Rattus norvegicus: one gene and its partner. The protein of the gene in region 1 binds, or shares a complex with, the protein of each later gene. Links are inferred from orthologs where the notes say so. Each region holds a gene or a part of one and is shown on either strand. Other genes may lie near its edges.

The links.
Region 2: the proteins of Alb (region 1) and Fcgrt are in contact, whole or in part, in a crystal structure (PDB 6QIO), measured with the Homo sapiens proteins. The link is inferred for Rattus norvegicus from reciprocal best matches to the Homo sapiens genes ALB and FCGRT. Residues at the interface, in NP_000468.1 of Homo sapiens: Arg105, Glu106, Thr107, Tyr108, Gly109, Glu110, Asp113, Asn133, Asn135, Gln441, Ser443, Pro445, Thr446, Glu449, Leu484, Leu487, His488, Thr491, Pro492, Val493, Tyr521, Val522, Pro523, Lys524, Thr530, Phe531, Thr532, Phe533, His534, Asp536; in NP_001129491.1 of Homo sapiens: Arg65, Glu67, Glu69, Gly72, Ala73, Val75, Trp76, Gln79, Val80, Ser81, Trp82, Trp84, Glu85, Lys86, Thr89, Arg92, Asn172, Lys173, Leu175, Thr176, Leu179, Phe180, His184, Glu188, Arg192, Gly195, Asn196, Trp199, Lys200, Glu201.

What each region holds. Positions count from the first base shown.
Region 1 is NC_086032.1:17,895,422-17,901,944, reverse strand, and holds part of Alb (albumin precursor), read left to right. Parts: intron 1-581; coding exon 582-679; intron 680-2,198; coding exon 2,199-2,328; intron 2,329-3,314; coding exon 3,315-3,529; intron 3,530-4,275; coding exon 4,276-4,408; intron 4,409-5,478; coding exon 5,479-5,576; intron 5,577-6,523. UniProt on the Homo sapiens protein: Binds water, Ca(2+), Na(+), K(+), fatty acids, hormones, bilirubin and drugs. Its main function is the regulation of the colloidal osmotic pressure of blood. Major zinc transporter in plasma, typically binds about 80% of all plasma zinc.
Region 2 is NC_086019.1:104,708,673-104,715,005, reverse strand, and holds the end of Fcgrt (IgG receptor FcRn large subunit p51 precursor), read left to right. Parts: intron 1-2,124; coding exon 2,125-2,394; intron 2,395-3,436; coding exon 3,437-3,553; intron 3,554-3,742; coding exon 3,743-3,852; 3' UTR 3,853-4,099; downstream 4,100-6,333. Other genes in the region: Rcn3 (reticulocalbin-3 precursor), read left to right, coding at 5,315-5,556. UniProt on the Homo sapiens protein: Cell surface receptor that transfers passive humoral immunity from the mother to the newborn. Binds to the Fc region of monomeric immunoglobulin gamma and mediates its selective uptake from milk.

The DNA of each region.
Region 1 (6,523 bases):
AGTTAAAATTCAAAGCAGAGAATTTTTACTGAGGCCAGAAGTTGAAATTCCTTCTTTCCTTCCATAAATATTTGTTACGCATCATTTGGTTTGTAGAGGCACTTACTGATTTTATGAAAGTTGATGGAGGAAGGACTGCAATGAATTAGTCACAAAATTAAAAAGTCAGTACAGGCATAGGTCCCAGGGCATCGCCTAGGACAGGGTAATCCTCCCTTGGCAATGTCTCCAAGGTGCTTTTCCTAGATGCTAAGAACAGATCGATTTTCTTTTCCTTTAGGTATCAAAATAATTATTTGCTAAAAGGGACTATTGTGAACTGAGATATAAATTACCTTTTTAAATTTTCACTTGAATGGAAGGTACAACTAATGGTAGAATTCTTACCTAGCATGCACACGATTTCAACTCCTCCCCACCCAAACCAATTGTTTTGGCACAGGGCTGTGGGGAACTTTGAAAGGGGCCTCTCTCTCTCTCTCTCTCTCTCTCTCTCTCTCTCTCTCTCTCTGTGTGTGTGTGTGTGTGTGTGTGTGTAAAAATAACCTTTCCAATTTTTTCAACTGGATTTCTTTTGGTAGCTTGATGCCGTGAAAGAGAAAGCACTGGTCGCAGCTGTCCGTCAGAGGATGAAGTGCTCCAGTATGCAGAGATTTGGAGAGAGAGCCTTCAAAGCCTGGTATATGAATTTTCTTTAATATCACAGTCCACATCTTTCTGATGATAGCTGTCCAATCCAAAAGGCTGTGCCTTTATAAGGCACTTTATGAAAAGACGATAGAGGTGAAATCGGATTAATAGTAGTAAGTTGACATTTTTGTCTCATGCTTTATTTTAAATTATCAAAGAATTTAGAAGACTTTTGTTTTTTTCCTAAAAGAAGACAGGTATTTAAAATCTCATTTGCTTATAAAGACTGGGACTCATTTTCAAAGCTTAAGGAATGTAGTCAAGGTGATTAATTTACTTAAGTTGTGTTCTCCCAGGCTAAAAGTGACTGTTTTATGTCCTGATAATTGAATTTAGCCATCAAAGAAGCTGGAGTTATTACTTTGAATTTTATTACAACTCCAACTGTGTTTTTTTTTTTTAACTTTTTTTTTTTTTTCTCTGAGCTAGGGACTGAACCCAGGGCCTTGCGCTTGCTGGGCAAGTGCTCTACCACTGAGCTAAATCCCCAACCCCCCAACTGTGTTCTTAATCTCATGTTTCTGTTTGATACTCTCTTTGCTTCTATATGCTGTAGCTGAGCCTGGGGTGTATTCTTTAATGTAGAAGGCAAGAAAGACATGCTTGCCTTTCTAGCGCCTCACCTGTTAGTCGTTAATGAATCAACGTAATAGAAAAGAACGAGGAGATGACGTCGTCGTGTGGGTTCTCTGGAAACCGTCAGCACAATTATCCTCACGAAGTCATTCCTACTATCCGAATTATCACAGCCAACCAAATCAACACACGAGGCAACTTCAGTATCAAACAATACACTGTTGTGCAGGCCGTGACTGGCTCTTGCAAAGGAGTCTCTTTATTGGAGTTAAGGAACTGAAAATGATCTTGGAATGAGAGTCTTGGCTTGTGCCATAGAACTTAGAGGCTGTCTGCCGGAACAGTTTCTTGGCGGGAGGATGCATGGTTAGAACTCTCTAAGCTCTCTGGAAGTTAAGAATTTTGTTTCCCCCATCAGGAACTTTAGAATTCAGAGAACTATGTCTTGTGAGGAAAGATGACGAATCTTCAGTTCCAGATGAGAAAATGCTTTCATGCCATTATGTAACTTAATCTCCCAGATCCTTTGATTCTGCCCGTTGTAACACTCTAAAAGCTAAGCAGGTTGCTGGTGGTCACAATGCTAAGACCGGGTCAAGCCAAAAAACGGAAGTCAGATAAGGCCTTAACACTTGGCTGATGCCCCTTTGGGGAAAATCTCTGTTTTTCATTTAATGAGGCCTTACCTTTCCATGGACCGTCCCCATTCTTTTAGTAGATAGATCCACTAAAGAAAACCATAACTATCATGCCAGGCTAGCATTGCAAGAACTAGTGGATTTTTATAATTTGATCACTTAAGTCGGGTTTTAACTTCAAAACCAGTTTATAACAAATTTCGAACTTGTTATAAGTGGCGCCTTTTTTACTGCTTTCCTCCAAATACACTATGATAATAATTCCTTGATGGGGTTTCTTTTTTCCTTTTTCAGGGCAGTAGCTCGTATGAGCCAGCGATTCCCCAATGCTGAGTTCGCAGAAATCACCAAATTGGCAACAGACCTCACCAAAATCAACAAGGAGTGCTGTCACGGCGACCTGTTGGAATGCGCGGATGACAGGGTAAAGAGGGGGATTGCAGGCTCAGTCAGTGAATGCAAGTGTTTGGCTTCACCCGAGATCACTGATGGCTGCTGGTGTGACCGTTAATCTGCCAAGCTCTCCTTGGTTGGTGCCACTTTCCAGAAAAAAACAAAAACAAAAACAAAAACAAAACAGAAAACAGAAACAACAGCAAAAGGTTTTCTGAATTATTAAATGATCCAAAACTCCTTTCTTCAGTCACACTTTGAGAAAGGTGTTAATGAACGGGAACTAGTCACAGATGTAGTTTTTTTTTCTTTTTTTTAAAGATGTTTAAGATTTTGGGAAGAGAAACGGGGCTAGGGATCTCACAGAGTGGAGAGGCTCTTAAAAATGTGTTTATCCTTCGGTAGTCTTTCCTCTAATTAACTGTGTACGTTAAGCACATAAAAAAATTCACTGTGATCTCATTTTCTCCCACCTCGTCCTGCTAGCTCCCTCCCCTCCCCTCTCCAAAGACTAAAAATATAACCAAACATCAGAATGCTTTTCTGCCATAGAACCTTCTGGAGAACTCAAGACAGATGTTTTGTGTGTTATGAGCAAGGCCTGTAATTGTGCTCATTACTGGTTGTTTAATTATACTTCATATTTTAATGAGTTATTTAGTTTCAAAATGACTACCCTTAACTTGGGAGGAATTTAAAAAAAAAAAAAAGCACTAACTTTTATAGAAAAAGTGACCTGATTTATCACAGTCTCTCTGACATAAACTTAATAAATAATTAAAACAAATTCATTTAACTAAATACATACCTTGTTTCTGAACAGTCATTCTCAAATCCCATTGGGATGTTCTGGTCATAGTACTGAAGCACTTCGTGGCTGAGAATGTGTTTCTAGAAGCCACTTTGGTTGCGAATGGCTCAGAGCAGGATGGATAGGCTATCCCCGCCCAACAGTGGTGCGGGGATAAAATGTAGCCAAGAGAATTTCTCTGAAACCTTTGCCTTCCGTTCTCACAGGCGGAACTTGCCAAGTACATGTGTGAGAACCAGGCCACTATCTCCAGCAAACTGCAGGCTTGCTGTGATAAGCCAGTGCTGCAGAAATCCCAGTGTCTCGCTGAGATAGAACATGACAACATTCCTGCCGATCTGCCCTCAATAGCTGCTGACTTTGTTGAGGATAAGGAAGTGTGTAAGAACTATGCTGAGGCCAAGGATGTCTTCCTGGGCACGTGAGTAGATGCCTTTCTCTTCGTGGCTTTGGCGAAGCTGTGCGGTGTAGGAGGCTACACCAGGCTCCTTGTCCAGGTGTTAGCAGGTGTTAGCCTTTAAAGTTTCCTTGAAAAGCATTTTAAGGAACTCAAAGCATTTTTTTTTAATGAAATCATAACGCATTCAGCATAAACTCAATGTTCTTTACTTCATAGGACTATTTCTGGAAATATTCTATGAGTATATAAATTGTATGTGCCACTTAATCATTCTTATGGGCATTTTTCTTGAAATTCTCATGTATAGGAATATATTACCTATGTATCTACTTACCTATCGAGCCATATCTATTCATTTCTGGGATGACAGCAAGGATATCTATCTATCCCTCTGTATGTATATATGCCCACATGACACTTAGTTCTTTCATACTTGGTTGAGAAGACCGGAATGTCACAGTGTGGCAAGGCACGATACAACGAATAACAAATGACAATATGTTTTCAGGAAGTGCAATCCTTATTTCCATCCTACTAACGGAGAGGTTGATGCACTCTGATAGTAAGTTGCCCAGGCAGAATACTAAAATAGCTTGCAGTGGTGGAGCTGAACCTGGGAAGGGTTCTCTCTGGGTCCCACGTCTTTGCTGCTTAGTCCTTGCTGCGAGCCAACACAGGGTGGCTGGGATGAGAATCTCTATTGAGATTGGTCAGGGACTCTATGACACGCCCCCTTATTCAGCTCAGCCTATGTTCGCCTCAATTAGGTTTTTGTATGAATATTCAAGAAGGCACCCCGATTACTCCGTGTCCCTGCTGCTGAGACTTGCTAAGAAATATGAAGCCACACTGGAGAAGTGCTGTGCTGAAGGCGATCCTCCTGCCTGCTACGGCACAGTGGTAGGTTTCCGCGAGCCAGGAACACTCACGGTGCTGGTGGGGCTTTCTGTCAGGAGAAAAGAAGAGATGAATTCATGATCATAGATACGTAGGTCAATCCTGATGTTTTCTTGAGATAGAGGCAAGTTCGAGCTCTTAAAGTTTCCTTCAACATTGCAGGATAAACTCTTTGGGTAAAATATAAGGAAACTAGAATGACCACTCTAGGGAAGGAAGGTTCAAAGAGAGGGAGGGATCTTTGCTTACATAAAACCTTTGTTGTAGCCTTCCCTTTTTCAGACGCCTGAGAATAAAATTAGAGAATAAGTTCAATTGCCAATTAAAAGTGATTGATTTAACTTAGGCTTGAAAAGACCATTAACCTGTCCCACCATACTGTCAACTATTAGAATTAATATCTCAAAGGAATTCGAGAACTCTACTTCTTTAAATGACATTTTGGAGAAGGTTTTGGAGTAGTATTATGAGAAGTTGTGTTTGCAGGTTTGTTGTGGGTGGGGATGTCGGGACTCCTGTCAGCACATATTGGTTTCTGAATCATCTGGGACCAGAAGGGAGTCAGACTTTACAAAGAAACTGCCCGAATACCAGACACCACTCTGTGATTTAGGCTGGGGTGGATGCTCATATCTCAGAGACCTCAAGATCCAACTGGAGAGATTGCTATAAGTGAAGGTCACCATCTAGGGGACTTCTGTGCACTAGGTGCTGTTTTGATTTCATCCACTTAGTGGGTTAAGAGACCAGTGCTGGTGCTGAGGACAGTTAGTGCTGTAGGGTTGTAGACAGGATCAGTCTGAAACTTGGATGTGGGAAGAAAAATCACACAACAAGAAAATACAGCAGGTGGCCTGCTTCAAACGCAGCCATTAAATCCCAGAGCCTGAGGATTCTCATTTGATTTGTGCCAAAAGACCTTGCAAATAAAAGGGACAATTTAAATGCAAGATGGGAAATGTGGCAAAAAGGTCTCCTGGCTTGTCTTTGTATAGAGGGACAGCAGTAGTACAAAGTGACCTACTTTGGGCTCTCAGGAAGGGGCCTGTAAACACAATTCTTTTATCTTGCAGCTTGCAGAATTTCAGCCTCTTGTAGAAGAACCTAAGAACTTGGTCAAAACTAACTGTGAGCTTTACGAGAAGCTTGGAGAGTATGGATTCCAAAACGCGTGAGTAGTTTTTTTCCTTGATCAACTTGTAATTATTTAAAACATTATATAGGCCATCCAGCATATGGATTTCACAATGAAAACACACTATATATAATCCATATCTATCAAAAAATTCTGGGAACTTCGTTGGAGGGATGAGGAGGACTGTATCCCTGTGTAATATAAACACTGGTCTCTTGGGAGTAGACGTTTTGAGGACTCAGCAAATCTTGATACATTGGAAGTGGAAGCGTCCTTCAAGGGTTAGGTGGAGTTTATGAGCAAACAGAACAATACTTAGTAGAAAAGGGAGAAGCATGCTTAGGCAGCAGAAACTCAAGAACTGATAGAAATGCTGAACACAAAAACATAACAAAAGATTTAGATAATATGGAAATATTACACGAATAAAGAGTTCATTTGGGAAAACATTGGAATTTGGGGGTTACATCTAAACCTATGTAGTTGTGTCCTTGTCTTCCTATGGAATTTCACTCCTAGAGATAGAGACTGAGTGGCCTTCCACAGTGGTATCCCAATTCCATAGGGCTTTATCTATGGAAGTAAAGTGAGCATGCTGGAAGAGACCCGTGATTCCTTGTTCATTTCATATACAGTATTAGCATTCTTTTAACTCTGGAGTTTGGAGAAGGCACTTCTATACCTGAATACGCTGACCTTTATTGCTGATGGTACACTGTTAAATGCAAGATGTTATCAATTGCTAGATAGCGTGTCAGGCAGAAATTATTTTCTTTCATTTAATTGGTGCATGCTTTCTATTAAATCATCTCTCTTTTCACCACTTCCTTTGAGCTTGTCACAATGCTGGTATGTGTACGTTTGTGACAGAGTCTATTTAAAGCAGCATGGAGTACATTAATACCATCGGGCTAGAGAAACAATACTTCCTTGTGATTCTAGTACAGATTTAAGACTAAGATCTTACGCTCCAAGTAGTTTTT
Region 2 (6,333 bases), on another chromosome or scaffold:
AAACTTTTTCTGATTACATTTATTTTATTGCTAATTTATATGGTTGTGTACATGCACATATTGTGCATGAGACCACAGATGCCAGAAGGCATCAGGTCATTTGCAGCTGGAGTTACTGGTGGTTGAGTGTCACCCAGTGTCGGTACTGGGAATGAACTCAGTTCTGTAGAAAGAGCAGAAAATGCTGCTAAGCTGCTCCTCAGGCTCTTCTGAGCCCTCTTTTGACTTTTTATTTTGAGATGGGGCCTAGCTAAGTTTCCCAAGCTACCTTTCAACTCCCTCTGTGGTTTAATGGGTGAGTCTGTAATCCTGCTGCCCTGGCAGCCAGCTTACAGTTTCTGGGGCTAAGGTGCTTCCTTTTTTTTTTTTTTTTTCTTTTTTTTTCTGTTAAGCAGAAGCCAAGGCTGGGCTGACTCTTAGCACCCTCAGGGTCAGAACTGGAAAACAGGAGAACCATGGGTGTCTCTCAGCACTACCCACAGGAAGTCATCCTCACTGGAAAACAATAACAAGCACAAGGCAGGACACAGAACTGCTGACTGAGGTCCGGTCCTCTGTGGTTGAGAGCCGGTGCCGCAGGTCTTTCTTAGATGCCAGTGAGGCCCCTCTTTCAGGGAAGCTGCCTAGCTTCCTCTTCCTAAGAAATTGTCAGCTTATTTTCTGCTGAGGATCAGAGCAGAACCAAGATTGTGAGACCCACCCTGCATGGAGGGAACGCCTCTGCCGTGCACACAGCCTTGCTGGGGTCTCAGATCCCCATGGATTCCATTTTGTTTAGGGGTTTATTGCTGTTGATTCAGGATCTTGTGTAGCCCAGGCTGGCCCCAAACTTCCTATTTCACCAAAGGTAACCTTGAACTCTTCATCCTCTGACCTCCAGTCTGCAGTGCTGAGATCACAGGGGTTCTCCAGGGTGCACAGTCAATGTCAGTGTGCTTGGGATTGAACCCAGGATTTCACCCAGGTCCAGACAAGCACTCTGCAAACTAAGCCACATCCCCAGCCACAATGTATTTATTTATTTGTGTCTTTCTTTTCTTGGTCTCACTATGTCACTATGTAGCCTTGGCTTGCCTGGAATTGATACGTAGAACAGGTCGGCCTGGTATTCACAGAGATTCAGGTGCTGGGATCATTTGTATGGGCCTGCACCATCACAGCAGCTAGGACAGCCATGTCTCTTCGCTCTGTGTATACACTAATGTGTTCCGAGGGCCAAGAACAGGTCATGCACTAGAGAGGTTTACTACATAAACCAGTATCCGGGGGCACATGGCTGCTGTCTCTTAGCTAGCTCTTAGCAAGTAAAGGCAGGAAGATAAGGAAGTCAAAGTCATGTGTATCTATATAACGGGTTCAAGGCTTGGCCGGACTAAGAGTGAAATTCAGTTGGGAAACAAACAAATACATGTGCCTGGCAAGATACACACTGAGCACAGTGTTTGCTGTGCAGGAAGACCTGGGTTCTGATCCTCAGTCCCCTTGCAAAGGCTGGGTGTACTGCTGCATGTCTATAGCTGCAGGGATGGGTCTGGCAGAGATGGGACCTCACCAGCCGCTTAGTGTGGCTGAAAGGGTGAACCCCAGGTTCAGTGAGAGACTCCATCTCAATAAATAAGTGGAGGGTGGGAGAGGTGACTCAGTGGTTAGGAGCACTTGCTGTTCTTGCAGAAGACCTGGATTTGATTCCTAGCTCCCATATGGTGGTTCACCACCACCCATAACTCCAGTTCCAGGGGATCTGATGTCTTCATCTGGCCTCCATGGGCACTGCCTGCATGTGGTGCACAGACACACAGGCCAAAAATCACTCAGACACACAAAGTGAAAAAGAAAGGGGAAAAAATTTGAAGAGCAAGAGAGGAAGGTGCCTGCCATTGACCTCTGTCCTTGATCCACAAATATACCACACATACGCCAAAATCAGGGGGCGTGGTAGCGGGGTCAGCAGGATGGGGTGTCTGTCACTCTGCGAAGCCCTCTGGGTCAGCACAGTGCTGATAATAGGGAAGTGGGGTCTGTTCATGACAAGTTTCACACCAAGGCTTGGCAGGGGTGGGATCAGTGGGTGAGGTCATAGCCTACCCTAACTGCTGGCCCACCCCATTCCCTGTGTCCCCACAGAGCCGCCATCTATGCGCCTGAAGGCCCGTCCTGGCAACTCTGGCTCCTCAGTACTGACCTGTGCTGCTTTCTCCTTCTACCCGCCGGAGCTCAAGTTTCGATTCCTGCGCAATGGGCTAGCCTCAGGCTCTGGGAATTGCAGCACTGGTCCCAATGGTGATGGATCTTTCCATGCATGGTCATTGCTAGAGGTCAAACGTGGAGATGAACACCATTACCAATGTCAAGTGGAGCATGAGGGGCTGGCCCAGCCTCTCACTGTGGACCTAGGTGAGGCTGTCCCTCTGGCCTCAGTGTCCTCTTTGTTTCTGCTCCTAGCTTCTGATTCTCCATTAACCCTGTGGCCAGTCCCCCTGAGTCTGACCACAAGTCTTGCTACTACTGGTCTTCATGGTGTTTGACCATTCACTTTTGCTCCTGACAGTTCTTGCCATGGCTTTGGTGAAGCACCAACTTTGCCATTTGTCCTGTGACTGCTCCTCCTCAATTAGGTCCTCATTGAGCTCCGTCACAGTGTGGCTGTGTTCTCTCAATATGGCCCTCTTCCTCCTCCTCCTCTTCCTCCTCCTCCTCCTCCTCTGCTTCTTCTCCTCCTCCTCTTCTTCTTCTTCAGATTTATATCTAAGAGTATGCATATATGTTTAATTTCCTTACGTTCTTTATGTGAGAAGGGAAGGCAGAGGTGAGCCTGTGTCGTGGGATACTTGAGAAGACAGAGGACAACTTGGGGATCAAACTCACTAGGCTTTAGGGCAAATGCCTTAACTCATTGAGCCTTCTCGCCAGCCTAGATTTATAGAGGGTTGGGCTCAGGTTGGAACCAAACTGATCCTCTGCAAGAGCAGCAAGTGCTCTTAACATTAACAGCTCTAGCCATCTCTCCAGCACAGTGGCAGGTTCTTTTTTTTCCGGAGCTGGGGACTGAACCCAGGGCCTTGCGCTTCCTAGGCAAGCGCTCTACCACTGAGCTAAATCCCCAACCCGGCAGGTTCTTTTTTTTTTTTTTTTTCTCTTTTTCTTTCTTTTTGTTTTTGAGACAGGGTTTCTCCGTATAGTTTTGGCTGTCCTAGAACTTGCGATGTAGACAAGCCTGGCCTCTAACCCACACATCTGTGTGCCTCGGCCTCCCAAATCCTGGGATTAAGAGGTGTGCCACCACTGTGTAGCTGGTTCTTACATTCAGGGTGGAAACACATGAGGCCCAGGGCCTTTTCTCTGCATACACCCACCCTCAGATATATGCTTCTGGGGCTCTCTGAGAGGAGTCACCGACTCCTTTCTTCCCTGTCTTCATGAGACTTTCTGGCTGCAGATTCGCCCGCCAGATCTTCTGTGCCTGTGGTCGGAATCATTCTTGGTTTATTGCTGGTGGTAGTGGCCATCGCAGGGGGTGTGCTGCTATGGAACAGGATGCGAAGTGGGCTGCCAGGTGCGTGCAGGGTTGGGGAGGGGTGGGGTGGGAAGTAGAGGAGAGAAAGAGGGGAGGGAGAGACAGAGACAGCCCCTGACCACCCTGGGAAAAGAGATGGGGACAGACACCATAGTGTGGCCCTCACAGGTGTGTTGGGTGGGTGAGACCTTAGATACATTTGTTGACCTCTATTCCTCTCTCTCTTAGCCCCATGGCTTTCTCTCAGTGGTGATGACTCTGGCGACCTATTGCCTGGTGGGAACTTGCCCCCGGAGGCTGAACCTCAAGGTGTAAATGCCTTTCCGGCCACTTCCTGATGCCAACCCAGGCCCCATACCCATTGCAGCCTGTGGGGCTGTGTGACCTCCTGAACTGTCTCTGAGCCTCCCGAGGGAGCCCTGGGCTGGATGTCCTCCTCGTGGATCCCTTCTTTTGTGGCCTGCTTCAGTTTCCCCTCTTAATGTCAATGGCTATTTCCATCTCCACATAAATTTGGGCCCAAATCTGTGTGTGCATCGTTATTCTCAGGTTTCAGGCAGCCGGAATAAATTGAACAAGTTTGAGAAAGATCTTACAGACTCCTCCTGATTGCTGTGGTACAGCCTGGCCATTTTATAGACCGAGTTGTGTATTTTTAGTCATAAATGTATGTGATACCTAAACCATACCAGGCATCATTTCTCCTCTCCCTCTCCGTCCCTCTCCCCTCTCCCCTCCCCCTTCCCTCCCTCTCCCTCAAGACAGGGTCTTCCTATGTAGTCCTGGCTGGCTGCAAACTCATAGAGATCCACCTGCTTCTGCCTCCTAAGTGTTGGTAGCATGAGCCACCAAACCCGATCTCCTCTTTTCTGAAACGGATCTGAGAAACGGAAAGAGTTAAAAAAAACAAAACAAGGGGTTGGGGATTTAGCTCAGTGGTAGAAGCGCAAGGCCCTGGGTTCGGTCCCCAGCTCCGAAAAAAAGAAAAGAAAAACAAAACAAAACAAAACAAAACAACAGAAAAAGAAAAAAACAAAACAAAACAAAACCCACATTCTCTTAATTCTCTGGGGCCAGAGACTCTGGAGTGGTCGTGCAGTCAGCCCGTATGTCTGCTGGGAGTTGTAGTTCAACATCGGCCTTCTCCGCTGGAGCTCAGGCTTGTGGACGTGGCAAGGGGGTCCGGGGCACTCTTCTTCTCCTCCTCGCTCATTGGCTCCGCCCCTGAGGCTCTTCTGCGCAGTCATTGGTCAGAGGGCGGTGGCCTCTGGACTGCCTGTGGCAGAGCTTAACTGGAAGCAGGCCAAGTTGGGCATCTTTGCGTGAAAGCAGAGCTCAGCGTGGGGAGCGAACCCAGGCCAGGTAACAGAGATGTGGTGGGGCGAGGGTGGGGTGGGTGGAAAGGTGGAGATCTAGCTATGGAGGGGGCTTCAGCGTGAGGCTCACGGTCCAGACTCCCCAGCCACATAGAGGAGCCTGCATGATGCTTTTGGCCACCACCATGCCCTCAACTTTGTGTGGGATGTGTGCCACGTCTCTAACTGAAATACCCCCTTTCTGCTCTGAGAGTCCTCTGAGGCTCGGATTTCATCCCCAGAGATGGTTTTACCTTCAGATTCTCGATTCTTTTTGCCGACTTTTCTTGAGCCCCAAACTGTTTGCAGCCTGCGCGGATATCTGCACTGCCTCAGGCAGCCTCCCCCCACGCCCCTTCAAAGTTCTCTCGCATTATCTCTGGTTTAGATTTTTTCCCCCAAATCTTACCCCTGACCCATGTTCCTCGCTTCTCCCCAGGAACCGATGATGTGGCGATGGACGCTTATGTTGCTTCTCTTACTGCTGAGGCACTGGGCCCTGGGGAAGCCATCTCCTGATGCAGGACCTCATGGCCAGGATAGGGTGCATCATGGAACCCCCCTGAGTGAGGCCCCCCACGATGACGCCCACGGGAATTTCCAGTACGACCATGAGGCGTTCCTGGGACGAGACGTGGCCAAGGAATTTGACCAACTCACCCCAGAAGAAAGCCAGGCCCGACTTGGGTAGGAGGATGCGGGGAGCCGTGGAGAAGTGGGAGGTGGGGAGAAATGAGCTCACTGAGAAGACTTAGAGGCAGAAAACCGGACAGAACTGTGGTACTCACCTCCTGGGAAAAGGTAGAGTTAAACCTGAGGCTGTGGGGGACCAGTGTCACCAACACCTGGGTTCTCTCTCTACTTCAATCCACCCTATGCCTGTCTGGGCATCCCTGTTCTCTCTTCTAAACGTGTCACCGACTCTCGGTAGAGACTGAAGACATGGGATTTGAGGAAGATGCCAAGCTCAGAGGCCAGGTTGAACTGGGATGAATGACGCCAGCTGGACAGGATTGCCCTGTTTCTAGGTGACAGACACTGTCAGCATGGGCCCGGGACAAGAAGGCCACTCACGTATATATGCTTGATTATTTTCGTTATTATTAGTACTTTGAGATAGAATTTCATTTGTGGTACTAGCTGGTCTGGAATTCACGCTGTAGACTGGACTGGTCCAGAATTCAGAAGTCTGCCTGCCTCTGCCTCCCGAGTGCTGGGATTAAAGGAGTGCATCTTTAATGTGGTGACGATTTCTAATTTTTTTTTTCTTTTTTCCGGAGCTGGGAACCGAACCCAGGGCCTTGCGCTTGCTAAGCAAGCGCTCTACCACTGAGCTATATCCCCAACCTGACAATTTCTAATTTTAAACTGGGCAAATGGTAGCAGGGTGGAGCTGGAGAGGGAGGAGTCCAAAATTGATCTGCCCACCTAGGGAAGTGGGCAGAGCTTGAGTCCACTGGCAGA